Astyanax mexicanus: one gene and its partner. The main gene of each other region encodes a partner of the protein of the gene in region 2 in a complex. Links are inferred from orthologs where the notes say so. Each region holds a gene or a part of one and is shown on either strand. Other genes may lie near its edges.

What was found. The genes of interacting proteins can lie anywhere in the genome.
Region 1: taf5 (region 2) and taf7 share a complex: the UniProt entries of both Homo sapiens proteins name them as parts of the TFIID basal transcription factor complex. The link is inferred for Astyanax mexicanus from reciprocal best matches to the Homo sapiens genes TAF5 and TAF7.

What each region holds. Positions count from the first base shown.
Region 1 is NC_064417.1:51,690,842-51,698,844, reverse strand, and holds the start of taf7 (transcription initiation factor TFIID subunit 7), read left to right. Parts: upstream 1-4,312; 5' UTR 4,313-4,458; intron 4,459-4,853; 5' UTR 4,854-4,901; coding exon 4,902-4,920; intron 4,921-5,750; coding exon 5,751-5,824; intron 5,825-6,015; coding exon 6,016-6,094; intron 6,095-8,003. UniProt on the Homo sapiens protein: The TFIID basal transcription factor complex plays a major role in the initiation of RNA polymerase II (Pol II)-dependent transcription.
Region 2 is NC_064428.1:23,233,336-23,241,429, forward strand, and holds the start of taf5 (transcription initiation factor TFIID subunit 5), read right to left. Parts: upstream 3,375-8,094; 5' UTR 3,324-3,374; coding exon 2,969-3,323; intron 2,062-2,968; coding exon 1,836-2,061; intron 816-1,835; coding exon 500-815; intron 1-499. Other genes in the region: gsk3bb (glycogen synthase kinase 3 beta, genome duplicate b), read left to right, coding at 7,138-7,222. UniProt on the Homo sapiens protein: The TFIID basal transcription factor complex plays a major role in the initiation of RNA polymerase II (Pol II)-dependent transcription.

The DNA.
Region 1 (8,003 bases), on a different chromosome or scaffold from region 2:
GTTCTGCATTGTAGATAAATCCTAAAGTCATCCAAACTATGAACTAAAACATATGGAATTATTTTTGCAATTTCAGCTTTATGAGGTAGAGTCACTTAAAAATGACTTTCAGTTAACAGCTGTGCCTTGTTTAAATCTGTTTGAATATGCCTATTTGAGTTACATTCTAATCCATATTATGAGAAGCAAGAGCTCCTCAACTAAATAAAGAATAAACTGCTATAAGAAATGAAGGTCAGTCAATCCAAAAGTAAATTTTAAGAACTTTCAAAGTATCCTCAAGTGTAGTCACCCACTGCAAAGACCCTTAAAAACATTTAGATGATGGAACTGGCACTCATCAGGACCGCCCCAGGAAAGGAAGAGCATAAGTTCCCTTTGTTGTACAGGATAAAAGTTAACTTCAACGAGTATTTTGGTTTGAACTTTTTAACTAAGCAAAGAACTTGGCAAGAACGTTTTAGCTAAGTAAAGAAAAATGTACTTTAAGTAAAAATAAAGGTCAAAAATTTTATGATAATGATGGAACTGGCACTCATCAGAACTGCCCCGGGACAGGAAGAGTGAGAGTTTCCTCGGTTGCACAAGATAAAAGTAAACTTTCAATGAGTATTTTGGTTTGAACTTTTTAACTAAGTAAAGAAAAAAAGTACTTTAAGAAAAAATCCAAAAAGAAGAATTTCAAGGAATTCAAATATATCTTGTCAAGTGCAGTCACCGACTTCAAAGACAATCAAAAACGTTGTAATGATGGAACTGGCACTCATCAGGACTGCTCCAGGAAAGAAAGAGCAAGATATTCCTCTTAAGTTAACTTCACAGAGTATTGGTTTATTCTTATTTTGTTTTTTTAGTTTTTTTAATATTTTAACATTTTATTTCAAATATTACTTTTACATAAATAAATAAATAAGAAACATTGCGTAAGAAGAGGTGTGCCCAAACTTTTGACTGGTACTGTAAATATATATATATATATTATATTATTTATATATTTTTTTATATTATTGGGAAAAATGTCCATTAGCTCTAAAAAACATAAAATAACTATACTAGTTACGCTTTAACTGCGTTAAATCAGGGCTGTAAAGTCGCTAGTTAACTATATACAGCATTTTTCTGAATTCCTGCGCGTGAACATCGTAACTAAGAACCTACGGAGCGGCTTACCGTACTCATGACGTCACGGCAGTTCTCGTAAGGAGTTGCGTGTTGAGCGCAGGGCGCGCGCTGCTGATGACTCTGCGCTGTTCAGATGAATAAAGTGTTTATCAGTAATCCAGTGTGTGTTTAATCCTCCTCAGCGCGGGGGGAACTGGGAGAACTGGTCTCTCAGCGGGTCAGACTCTCCCCGTCCGGATCAGCAGCCCAGTCAGACCAGTCTCCGGGCTGTGCTGGTGTCTCGTGCCCTCCGTAAGGTCCCAGTGTTTTCGCTGGAAGTGAGAGGAGGCGCGTGGGGAATTCCTAGCAGAGTCACATTTTCCCTCCAATCTGATTGGTCAGCAGCGTGCCTGAGACTCAGTATCCCACTAAACACTGTCTAAACTACATACATCATCCAAACTAGGTAGACATTTAACTTTAATTTTCCTTAAAGACCTTACAAATTATGATTTTCTTTGATTTTACCAAATCGAAAACCTCTGGAATATAATTAAGAGGAAGATGGATGTTTACAAGCCATCAAACCACCAAACTGAACTGCTTGAATTTTTACACCAGGAGTAAAGCAGCATAAAGTTATCCAAAAGCAGCGTGTAAGACTGGTGGAGGAGAACATGATGCCAAGATGCATGAAAACTGTTATTCCATGAAATAGTAATTCATTCATGAATTCATTATATGTTTTATATATTTTTTAATTAATTAAATATATTTTTCAAATTTTAAATTAGGACATTAGAAGTACTTTTTTATCTGATGTGTTCTGGCCCAGTATTGTCTTTAAATATGAAAAATACATGAAGCAATGGACTATGATCATTACATATATCATTTTATGTCATATTGTATATTTGAATATATCTTTTTTGAGTAACAAATCCTCATTTTAACATTTCCACATGTCAGTATTTGATGTTTTATATTTTTAAGAAAAATAATAAAAAAAAATTCGTTCCCATACCGGGAGTCGAACCCGGGCCGCCTGGGTGAAAACCAGGAATCCTAACCGCTAGACCATATGGGAGCTGATACTGCAGCGCGCCGCTCCGCCTTTCATACATTATACACTGCAGTGATACTGTGGCTACAGATATACACGGGTTATATATGCGGGTAGGTAAATGTGTGCGTTTAGTTAAAAGTAGTTAATTATAGAAAATACTATAATTAATAATAATAAACTAGAACAGAGAACAGCAGCGATATCTTACCATTATTATTAGCTATTTAGCTAACTAGCTTTAGCATTTAACTTAAATAACTTAGCTAAATAACTTTAACACTTAGCTAGCTAAGCTTTTTAAATAGTTGTTTAATATATATAAATATAATTACAAATGTATTATTATTATTATTATTATTATTATTATTATTATTATTATTATTATTATTATTATTATTAATTATTAATGCCACAGCGACAAATTTTGTAATGTTACAGCAGCACACAGTAACGTTACCATTAAAAAGAGTTCCTTGTCCCTTAATAACGTTAATCCAGAATATGAGAAGCAAGAACTACTTAAATAAATAAAGGAAAAAATACGTTAAGACAAAATAAAGGTTATTCAATCCAAATAAAAGAATTTAAAGAACTTTGAACGTATTCTGAAGTGCAGTCACCGCAAATACCATCAAACACGTTATGATAATCAGGGTTGCCAGGTCACACAAAAGTACCCAGTCTAAAGTCTGTCTATAACCTGCCCTTCAGAAGCTTAAATTAGCCCAAAATATATGTCTGTCACACGTTTAGCAAATGTCAAAACAACTATGAGTGTACGACTTAATATTTTGTTTAAAGTCATTAATAGATAATAGTGTAACATTAGTGTTTTATTAGTTCTTTTATAACAGGTTTATATCCATGTCAAAAACATTTTTACTAGTAAGATAATTAGGAAAAAAAATAGAACAGACTTTTACTTACTCATTTCTGTTATTTTTTTCGCCTTGTGATTTCTGGTTACATTGTGATTTCTCTCTCTCTCTCTCTCTCTCTCTCTTTCCCGCTGTCCTCCCTTCATTTTTGACAAGCAAGCCTAATTTGGCGGTAAAACCACCAACCTGGCAACTCTGATGATGATGGAACTGGCACTCATCAGGACCGCTCCAGGAAAGGAAGAGCACAGGATAAGTTCATCAGAGTTACCAGCCTCAGAAACTGCATGTTAACAGCTCCCCAGATAAGAGCATCTAAATGCTTTACAGAGTAACGTTGTTAAGGTACTACATGATTCCTTATGAGTTACTTTATAGTCTGGATAATTTCATTTTTCATTTTTTTAATGTAGGGAAACAATTCTGTATTTTGCCACTGTCAGATATGTTAAATTAATTAGAAAGTTAATTTCTTTCAATAAATAAATGAGCAGATCAAATATTTTTAGGACTGATTAACTTTTAAGCCAAATTAATCAGAAATATGGAATATTCTAAAGATTTTAAACACTTTCAAACACCACTGTGTATATTTACATCTGTAACACTAGGTGGCAGTATAACACTGGTACAAAATCAGTAACACATGAATTTACTGGGACAAATTTAGACACAATAAAATTAGGATTGAGACTTAAACAAACTGTATTTATTACAGTTTTCTCTTAATTCCTCATAATCAGTATTTAATCCCCACTGCAGGTTCTATTTAAGTGATTTATTGATTCTACAGGTCTGGCAGTAATCAGGCCTGGTTGTGGTTAGTAGTAAAATTGACATCAGCTTTCCAAAAAATGTAGTTAATTCATGTTTATACATGTTAATGTTAATTCATGGGGGGTAACTTACATTAATTAATTTTCCATAATAAATTAAATTGTAATTTAAAAACTAAATACTTTTTTACAGCACTGATAGCAGTGATAAAGAAACATATTGAAAGGACAGTGCAGTCTACAGAGCTTTATACAGTAAAATACAGACAACGTCTGCTTCAAATTCATCTGTAGGTATTTTTCTGAACGTTTATTCTTCTTCTTCTTCTTCTTCTTCTTCTTCGTCTTATTATTATTATTATTATTATTATTATTATTATTATTATTATTATTATTATTATTATTATTATTATTATTATTATTTGTCCTTTATTATCATTATTAAAAACGCCTGATTCCAGATCAGTAGGTGGCGGTATTGGTCCCTGTAGTTTAGGCGCGAACAGCCATAGAAGAAGACCCCGCGAGGAAGGAGCAGCAGCGTTAGCATTAGCTTCGCTGAATATGTGATTAATATGGTTTAAACTTCTATTTCCTGCTTTTTAATCAGCTCTAACTCTGTGGGGGTTTGGTGTAGGTGAGATTTACTGTATTTTCCTACGGGTTTTTGTACATTATCCAGTTATTATCCTCTTATTCTGGATATTTTTCGTTTGTGGTAACGCTAATGTTGTTAGCCTGAGAGCTAACTAACTGCCTGACGCTGCCTAGCACTCACTCTCATTTACCTTATTTTTATTATTATTATATTATCTGTTCATATCTCACATTTATACTGCGTGTTTTACTGTATTTGTGTGTGTGTCTTTGTTTGTTTGTAAGTGCTAGCTGTCTGTTTCTGACCTCCTATGTTTTTGCTAGGCTAAAAGTTCCTGTGGTATATTTAGGCTATCTAATCTACAGAACATGAACTAACAGAACTACATTTTCATTGTTTTCGTTGTTTTTAATGTTTCTATTTTTATTTTTTAGGATCTAAACATCACCTGAGGTCACATACAGCATTATAACACTGTCAAAATGACTTCTAAAACAAAAGGTAGGCAATGGTTTGCATTTTTTCTAGGTCTTTGCTGCAAATTTAGCTACGTACATTAATTGCTGAAGATGTTATACCCAGCAAACACACACCATGTCAGACATCCCACCTTGCAAAAATATAAATAAATAAATATATTTATTAGGGGTGGGCGATATGGCCCTAAAATAGTATCACAATATTTCATGGTATTTTCCCGATAATGATACTTTTGGCGATACACTATACACTGCAAGAAAAATATATATATACATACATACAATGTAATACTGCACACCCCTAAGTGAGATATTAAAAAATACAAAAAAATTATCAGATTTGTAATAAAAGTCAATGATCCAGAATGTCATGATAATAATAATAATAATAATAATAATAATAATGCACTTCAAATTTCTCCATATATCCAGGATTAAAGTAAAATTAAAGATACTGGACAGATATAATCTGTCTCTAGTAGATATATAATGGGAAATGGGATGGGTGATATGGTACGATATTTTAGGGTATTATATCGTTCACTATATTTAAAAATTCTTGACGATATTATCGTGTACGATATGGCACACCCCTAATATTTATCAATTTATTAAGGAGTTTCAAGGTATTTTTAGGTTAACAGTCTTTTTGAAAAAGTTTTTTTATTTATTGCATAAAAACTGCAGACAAATAATTAATTTAAATATAATAAATTGCAAAATAAATACAAAACATATGCTTTCAGTAGTATAAAATAGTGCATGGAAGTACAGGTATACACAGGGTGACGTAAGGGAAATGGCACACCCCTAATTGAGATTTTCACCATATTATTTTTTGTTTTTTTGCAGTTGGAAAAGTAACTAAAAATAAAGAGGATGCTCCTCACGAGCTGGAGAGTCAGTTTATTCTGAGACTTCCTCAGGTAAGCGCTTTTTCCTGAGATTGTAGGTTTTTATTAAATGGTGAATAATATTTTACAGCCATAATAATATCAGAAGGGGAAAAGGTATGTAAAAATAATATAATAGTCATGGTTCAGCTGTATGAATTTTGTGTATAATAATCTGAAAATCTCCTGTAAAACATGGCCTGACTCAATCCTTGTATCTCCAGGAGTACGCCTCCACAGTGAGACAGATTGCCGGGTCTGGAAGCATGAATATCAAAGACAGACTGACCATAGAGCTGCACGGTAAGTGTACAAAAAAACATTTAGCAATGGTTTAAGTGAAGAGAAATGTTATATATTTTGTTTTCTTTTTCTTTTCTTTTTTTACAATTAAGAAAAGCTTATTGGAGGGGGGGGGATTTTTTTAGGTATTCGAGATCTAATTCATATTATTGTATGAGTTTCAAAAATGTTAAAAAGATACACAGCCATAGTCGCACATGCTTCTTTACTTGCACGTATTGCTGCAATGTGCCAATTTGTATTTTTGTATAAAAAAATGTAAAGCTTATTGTATCTTTTTTGGGATATAAAACACTGTCTTTACCAAAATAAGTAAAAAAAGTAAAGGAGCACTCAGCAAGCGTCTGAATAAGTTACAGCAGTCCAGTTTCAAAGCACCACCGAGAGTTGCTCACTCGGGTTGCCAAGTTGGCTGGAGGCTGAATCTACACAGTCCAGTGCGAGAAGAGTTCAGTGAAAGACGAGTCCAGCAACTTCTACCATGGCAAGCAACGGCGATGTGACTTATCTGCTCTTCCTTTGTGATTGAATTCATTTGACGTTAGCGTGTGTAGCATAATTGCGTTAGACAGCATAGTTACCTTGCACCATGCTAACCTATCTAGCTCTTTCAGGTATCATTTGCCTTGTTTTTTCCAGCTGCACACAGACCACTGATATGAATGTGAACACTCAATTATTTTATTTTATTCATTTAAACACCATTCCCTAGGAAGCTCACCTTGTGATTGTGATGAATTACTTCACTGAATTAGTTAGCCAGTTAGCTTACCTGTTCAGAAGAAAAGTAGCAGCTCAGCGTCGGTCTTGTAGTCTTTTTTTTTTAAGCTCTAAATCTTCTCTACCTTTCGAACTCACTGCCAATATTCACTTGTTTTATTTCTCCTTTGGTCACTGAGCTTTTTTTCAGACCAGCCCTGCTTGCTAGCTTCCATGCTGCAGCACAGATCACTCGCTATTTTGTATTTGCCACCTCAGTTAGTGCTGGGAACGAGCAGTAGGTGAAATCGAAGGGCAAAACAAACACAGATACCAACTGTGATGCACTGTACACTCCTAATAGGATCGTACTGGCTGATGTGCTTCTGACAAGAGCTGCCAGTGCTTTAACTCAGCATGTGTGCTTAATATCTGATGATATGTCCTAAACATTTTTATATTTTATCATTTACTACTGAAAATATAATCTCTATTGCTTCTATATTGTATAGCATATTCAGGGTTCGTATGGTCATGACAAAACTGGAAAACTAATGGAATTTTAAAGTTTTTAAAATTCAATTTCCAGGCCTTGATAAGTTTTGAAAAAATAAAAATACCCAGAAAATTTTGGAAAGGCATAGAAATGCGGTCTACAAAAAATTGTGTTTGCATTTTTTGATGGAGAAAATCTATTTTGAGCTAACATATATATCACCACAGAGTTACTTCAGTTATTTAGCCCAAATATAGGATCTGACACACATTTTATTTTTAAAGATTGCACTACAAAAATCCATTGGCAAAAAATAGACCAAATAAATGTTAATTAAGACGTAAATGCCTAAATTAAGCAAAAGAATCCTAGCTACATTTTTCAAAATAAGCAATCACAAAGTCCCAAAATGAGTGAAGTAAAACTCAAATCAAGAAAAAAAATCCTTATTTTGTGGCTTAAATTTGAACACAAGAATCAGAACTTGACTTTTAGTGCTAATGAGTTCAAATTACTTACAATAAGGTGGAAATTCTAAGTAAAACTGAATAAGATAATTATTCTTGTCAGAGAAAAGATTAAGATTTGTTGCCTTGAAATGAGAATTTTACTTGCTAAAATTAATTTTTTATGCAGTGTGTGCCAGCATTTTTATAAGATTCATTTTAGGCCTACTTTAATCAGTTTTGATTATAGTTTTAGTTGCGTTTTGGT
Region 2 (8,094 bases):
TAAACCCAACAAGAAAGGAAAAATAAAATAAAATAAACACACCGCTCCTAACGCACCCATCGAACCCAAAGCAGTGTCTTATAAGGAGATAAAGAGCCCAAGAATAGGCAGAAAAACGAGAATGGGTGTAAACTAAAGTTATGCCGAGCGCGACACAGGGGACAGGGGAGGAATGTATACAAAAGCTCACCAGAGAAGCATTTTATTTCTTCATTACCGTTCATTATAGTTCAAACACCCTCACGGGCAAGATGTTTTATGCTTGCAGGCCACAATTTACGCTATCCCATGACTTTTTGCATGAAAATGTGTGTGCACAGACTATGAAAATCAAAAGAAATCAGAAAAATTTTATACATGTTCCAAGAAATCTGATCTCTGAAACCCAGCACTCTGCTTATTAAATATGATTATGATTGGAGTGCACGAAAACCGACTCACTAATTTAAAACTGTTTAACGATCAGTGCTAAGTCTGATAGAATATCCCCCACACTCACCTTGGTCTTATTGTCCTCCCGTTTGGCCTCTCCCGCCAAACTGCCGGACATGCTGTCTATCTGGCTCTTGCTGCGAGGCATGCCATCGAAGATGTCGATGTAGAGATGCTCCTGAATGATGTTCCAGATCTGGTTGTTCTGTCGCTCCTGCAGGTGCCTCTTCAGCAGCTGGTAGGAGTCGCGGGAGATCCGCAAAACGAAGCGGCTCGTGCGGAAGTCTAGCAACGTCTCGTTGCCCTTCATGTGCTCCTTCTTGGTGAGGCCTGAGAGCACCCGCAAGTCGTCCTGATAGTAACACTCCTGGTCCCCATTAAACCTGAACATGAAAAGGAACGTTAGGCAGGAGCTGGAGGAGAGTTTCTGGGCAACAATTACAAGAAATACTCTGATCAAACACTGAAAAATTCACACTGTACTTATTTCCCATTATATGTCCAGTAGAGAGAGAATATATGTGTACAGTATAACTGATTTTATTTTCATCCTGTATAAATGTAGAGCATTATTAGTATCATGACATTCTGGATCACTGACCTCTGTTACAAATCTGATAGAATTCTAGTATTTTTTAATATTTATTATAGTTAGGGGTGTGTCATGTCATATTATATGCAATAATAAAACCTCATTTTAATTTTGTTGCAGTAGTGTATTCTTAAAATATTTTCTTTAATTCAGTGTTTTGTCATATCGCCAAGAGTATCATTATGGCAAAATTACCATGAAATATTGTGATATTATTTTAGGGCCATATCACCCACCCCTACTAGGCAGTGCCTGAAGAACTGACCATATCAGTCAACACACTGCAGAACTATTAGAACATCCAACTCTCTAGATCTCAGTGGGATTTCTTATGTGCTAATGAATTGTGTGAGATGTTAGATCAGAGAAAACAATAAAATGTGCACGGCAAAGGCGTTTCAGGGCCATGACTGAGACCAAAACTACTTAATTACCTACTTAATTAACCTCATATCGATATGTTTCAGATAAATGGTGATAATAGAATATGTTACGATACAGTATGTCTAAATAGTAAACAACTAATTTTATTAAGTATATAAATAAGTATTTCACTGACTGGACTATGCTGTGTGAGAAAGTCTTCATGCTGCTCCTTTAACTGTGACACTTTTCCAACATAATGCACAAGACTAAAGTCTGCACCAAAGCATTTCCACACACACCACCCATGTAGAATCTTTTTTGGAAATAAATGCAATTTCTGATGGTATTATTATGATATAAGCATTTTTATATCTTGTATAAAATGGGTTTAAATATAATGAAATATACGATTGATATATTGCCCTGCCCAACAGTAGTCACTTACTTCTCAAAAAAAGACTTGGCTTCACTTTCATGGTTGTTGTAGACCAGCTCCAGGTACATGTGCACGAAGAGTGGATAAAAGAGCTGCGACAGCTCGGCCCTGTGACAGTCCAGCACAGATTCAATGAACTTCTTCAAACCGCTGTAATAGACCTGATACAAGGATGGGTCACCCTGCTGACTGTACGCTGACAGAACCACGCTGACGTCCGGCTGGTCATCTCCTCCTGCAGACAACACATGAAATCAGAATATCATTAAAAAGTTACTTTATTTCAGTATTTCAGTTAAAAATGTACATAACATATATATTATATTTAAATATATTACACACAGAGTGATCTATTTTAAGGGTATATTTATTTTATTGCTGATGATTATGGCTTAAAGCCAATGAAAATCAGAGTCTCAGAAAATTGGAATATTATATAAGACCAATTGGTACTTTTGGCAGTCCTGCTGGAAAATGAAATTGTATTGTAATAGCATATCTTGTTATAAGACTGACATAAAAATAAGATTTAAATGACGCAGAATGTCTTTTAGTTAAGATTAAGGATCTTGTTATAAGATTGTCATAACACATGATGAGCATCTACTTCAACTAGCCCTCATAAACTTTACTATCCTGTGTTATAAGTGTTACCGGTACAAACAGAACTAATTAGCAGCTTGAGGAATTTTAAAGAAAGGTTTTAGTAATTGAAATGTTGGAGGAACCCCTAAAGGTGCTTTAAGGAGCCTTTAAGAAAACATAAGTTGCATAAAGGAACATTTATGGACTAAAACATTGTTTTGAAGGTTCCTCAAAGCCCCTCGAGTGGTGCTTTCTGTTTGAAATTGAAGAAACCATAAAAGGTTTCTCAATCAACTATTTATTTGTGTTTAGACACACACACACACACACACACACACACACACACACACACACACACACACACACAAAAAAACAAACACACACACACAAACAAAAACACACACAAACACACACTACTACTACTACTAGTTGTAGTAGTAGTAGCAGTAGTGATAGTAGTAGTAGCTGCATGCATGTGTGTTTTGACGTTTTGAGAGCAGCTCTGTTTCTTAGTCTGAAGCTCTTCTCTTTGTTCAGCTCCTCTCTATCAGACCCACCTTTAGCCGGAGCCGGAGCCGCCGCGCTCTGTGAGCCTCCAGACACCCGGCTGAGCAGCGCGCCCGCATCCCCGAGCTCCCCGCTCCCCGCCGCGGCTCCGCCGGCGCCTCCTGCAGCCTCGCTCCCCGGAGCTTCCTCCGGCTCGTCCGCCAGTCCCGCCTCCCGCCGCAGCGCGTCCACCGACTCGATCAGCTTGTTCCGCTTGAGGAACTGCAGCACGGCCAGCAGCGTCTGCTGATCCTCCGGCCGGGAGCTCGGCGCTGCAGCCGGAGCCGTGGAGCCATCGTTCATGAGCTCGGGCTTCGGCTCTTTCTCGCCCTCCAGCTCGCTCCCTCCGTCCTGCACGGCCGCCATTTTCTCCCCAGGCGCGGAAACTACTAGCTACAGACGGAACGACTCGTCAGCGAGTCGAGTTTCTTTTGAACCGGTTCTTTTGAATGAATCAGTCGAGCAGATTCAACTCAACTTCAATTCAGGACGTGACTGTTGTGCTACTGTAGCTAGCTTCAATAGAGATTAGTATTTTAGCATTTCAAGGGCATTCTGACAGCTAAGAAGAAGTGTAGGCTTTAAAATAAGAAAAGTACAAGTGTGAATTATCATGAATATTATGAAAATATTATGTTAAATCAAATTATTAGGAAAGTTAAAAATTAATATGAATATGCAGTGAAGTAAAAGTGGTAGCAGGAGAAAAAAAAATAAGAATACTCAGATACAGTATTTTAGTAGTTCCACATCTCTGGATACCAATGCTAATATCCTAAACCAACACGTCAAAATCCATCTGCGAATATATAAAGTATTTTTGTGCATGAAAAAGCAACTTCTGTAGGCACCGACATTTAAAAAAAATATATGTTTTAAAGCTTTAGTATTTATACACTTTCCTACTGACTATTCTTTGAGAGTGAAGAAAATAAAATTAATTATACAATCCTGTCCTACACAGTTATTTATTTCACACTCTAAAAACGTTAATAAATATTTGGATCAGACTCAATTAGGTGAAGCAAAATGCAAACCTAGTTTAATTCTAATTACTATTTAAAATACAAACCCATTAAACGAAGACCTAATGAATCGTTCACGTCAACGTTCGATTCACTGAATCAAGCCGGTTGCCTCTGTTCAATGAACTGAATCGAGCAGAACCAGTTCGAGCGGAAACGAGTTCTTACGCGATGACGTAGCGTGAGAGAAAAGGGACACGCCAAATGCGCGCGATTTCATTGGTTGGATTTTTCCGCTATTTTATCTCTTTTATTTTTTTATATATATTTTTTTTTCTTAATAAATTTAGATTTCTGAATGAACAAAACTTGGTCAAAATAAACAAAACATTGATCAATCTTTGGATTATTTAATATTCCATAAAAAAAAAAAATATATATATATATATATTGTTTTGTTTAATAAATCCATTAACTGTTTCCAAAACAGCTGAGTGTGGGAGCATAAAACAAACAGGTCTTTTGATTTTTCAGCATCACATTTTCAGAACATACATTCATTCATTTTGAAGCCGGACATGCCAAAGCTGGAAGAGTAGATATTATTCATTATTTCGTTGTGTATTTCGTTTGTTTTTGGTATTTAACGTTCTCAGTTTGGATGTTTCTTGCTGATTAAACAAAAAAAAACATATTATGTATATAAAATTGTGTAGGATATAACTCGTTTGCTAGAGTGAATCTCATCCATTTGTTCGAGCATTGTCATCAAGAAAATGATTTTAATTTAGATGGAATAGATAGGGTATTATTTTGATGGATATGTACATTTTATTGTAAAGTAGTCATGTTTGAAACAAATTATTTATTATGTTTTTAATATTTAATAATTGATAGATAAAACAGTGATTATTCGTTTACTCCGCCTCGACACTAGAGGTCGCGCTTCTGCTTCTTGCCCTACAGTCTTCTGCCCTCGGTGACTCCAGAGCCATATGGATCATATAGCCATCTCTATGGCTCTGGGTGACTCCCGGACTGGCTCCACCCATTCCCCGCGATCTGCCTTCTCATTGGTTCTCGCAACCATACGTCACAATCCGCGTGTACAACGCCCGATTCCCGTAAGTGTTCGTTTACGCAGAGTTGCGACTCATTAAAGCTGAGCGCGCCCGCTTACACAAACACCGCTACGCATTTTCCGTAACTAAAAATGAAGCACTGCAGTCGAGTCCTCAGTGACGATTCAGTTCGCTTTAGTTCCACGAACCGATTCTGAATCTTTCGTAGCGTTTTAATCACTGTCAGACCCCCATGTTAAGGTCAACTTTAAATATACTAACTAATATATTAACTATATATATATATATATATATATATATATATATATATATATATATATATATATATATATATATATATATATATATATAGTCCTGTCCTGGGAATCATCAAGATGTGTGTTGGCAAATGAAATAGGCCTGTGTTCTTTTTTTTCAGCAGTAATTTTTGCTTTGGAAACCATTTTCGCCAAGTCTCAGACTTATTATTGAATCATGAACACTTATCTTAACTGAGGCAAGACCTGCAGTTATTTTGTGATGGTTCACCATTGAGCCATGTTATGTCCATTTGTGAATAACAGCACAAAAACTCTTACTGTGTTTTGCTGGAGTCCAATTCTGATTCTGGTATTGGAGAGTGTAAATCAATGGTAACATATGACTATGGGACTAATGGGTCTAATACTATCAGCAGAGAAGCCAAGTAACAAAGTACAAATACTTTGTTACCTTACTTAAGTTAAAGTTTTTGTTATCTGTACTCAATGAATTCTTTTTCAGCTTACTTTTTACTTCAACTCCTTACATTCTTACAGTTATCTGTACTGTCTACACCTAACTTTTTTACACAGCTTTCTGTACTGTCTACTCCTTACATTTTAAAACAAGTACTTTAACACTTATTTTACTTGAGTAAAAGGCTTGAGTTGATACTTTAACTTCTACAAAAATATTTTGAACCCTAGTATCTATACTTCTACCTGAGCAATGAATGGTAATACCTCATACTGATTATAACTATTAAACATTCCATACCTAATATGAGAGTTCACATAACTGATACATTACATAATATATTATATTGTATTATAACTGTTTTAGGCGAAAAGGTATGTTGTCATATGCCATCAATGTTTTCTACAATAATTTGTACAACGCCTTCTTATTAATATAGTTTAAATCACTATTAAACTGATTTACTTTAATGGTCCGATTCAAAGAAAGAACCGAGTGTTTTGTGATTCGGTTCGCAGCTAAGGTGCAGTAAAGCTGAACAGCAGCGACTGGCCTGAGCGAACCGAAGACTCCTGAAGGAGCAACTTTGGTCTGCGGAGGGAATTTAGCTAGATATTATTAATCACATTACTCTGTTTATTGGCTGACCGAGGCTGGGGAGCTTTTACGAGCAGTTTTATTACCCCGTGCCTCTTTATTCCCGCTGTTTTATCTGTGGGGAGCTGAGTGAGGCGGGCGCCATGGCCAGCGGTCGGAGTGTGGAGCCCCTCAGTTTCAGCGAAAGCAGCTAGCGAGCTTCATTTGGAGAAGAGCAGCTACTTCTGCGGGCGGAGAGTGGAAGACTGGAGCTTTCTTTAAAACCAAACTAAGCTAGCTGACTAGCTAACGAGAGGACACGTCCTGAATTTTGTCCGTTTCCATGCTGAATATAATTTTACGAGCCTAGCAACAGCTAAGTTAGCTGGAGAACTAGCGAGCTAAGCTATCTGTAATTCGCCTCACTAACGTAGTTAGCAAGCTAGCTAACCTGAGGTAAACGGGCAGGACGGGATTGGACTCTCTCAGATATTTTTGAGAAAATGTATTATTTTTAACAGCTCCATATCCGTGCCATTTGTGTCAATTAAATGTCTTCGTTTTAACCATCTAAAAAAAGTGACTGCAGCTGTTTTTGAGGGCACACATTTCATGGCTTTGTCCCTCAAACACTGTGTCCAGGAAATTTAGCGTTAGCTAGCCTAAGCTAACGCCAGCTATTCTAACTAACAGCACAGCGTGGTGGAGTTGGCTTTTCTCCTCTCTCTGATAAAAAACCCACTTTAAACCACGAAGTAAAACAGGAGAATCTTTCAGAAGAAAGGGAAACAGATTTTGGAGCCGTTGTCGCTGGAGAAACCCAGAGGAAAAGGCTGAGAAATGTCAGGTCGGCCAAGAACCACCTCCTTTGCGGAGAGCAAACCCGTGTCGCAGCCTTTAGCGTTTGGCAACGTCAAAGTGAGCCGTGAGTATCTTTATGAACACTTCAGGCCAACAGTCCAGAAATCCTAATGTTTTAGGGACAAATCTTTTATTTATATAGCGATAAATTAACAAGATTTGGAAGTAAATTATAGAGGATAAGGATGAGGAGTAGTTAGCTCTGTCAGGTGATCTGTCAAGTCACTGTGTTGGCTCCATTTCATCCAGGACTGCAACTGATGATCTTTAGATTTAAGTAGCTGAATAATCGGCCTGTCGATTATTTTGTTGATTAATCAGCTATTGTTTCTGCCACACCCTTCACCCCTGCTTCCTGAGCATGTGGCTCCTGTTCCAGTGCATGTTTTACCTCACCTGTCAAGTCTCCCCACTCATGACTATTTTGGTAGTCGAATAATCTGTCGATTATTTTATTAATTAGTCAACTATTGTTTCTGCCACACCCTTCATCATTGCCTATTGAGCATGTGGCTCCTGTCCCAATGCATAATTTTCTTCACCTGTCAGGTCTCCCCACTCATGACTATTTTGGTATTCGAGTAATCTATTCATTATTTTGTGGGCTAATTAACTATTGTTTCTGCCACACCCTCCATCTCTGCTTCTTGTGCATGTGCCTCCTGCTCCATATATGTTTTATCTTACCGGCACAATTCTACACACTAGGGCAACCACCAATGAGTATTTTAGAAATCGAAATTTAGAATAGTTTGTAAAATCAATTTTTTGATTCGTTGATGAATCAGTATGTACCATTGTCTTTATTGTTGTATCCTGTGGGTGCAACTCTTGCTACAATGCATGTTTAACCCCTGCTGTCAAGTCTGCACACTCATTACTATATTGGTAGTCGAATAATCTGCAGATATTTTGCCAATTAGGCAAGTATTGTTT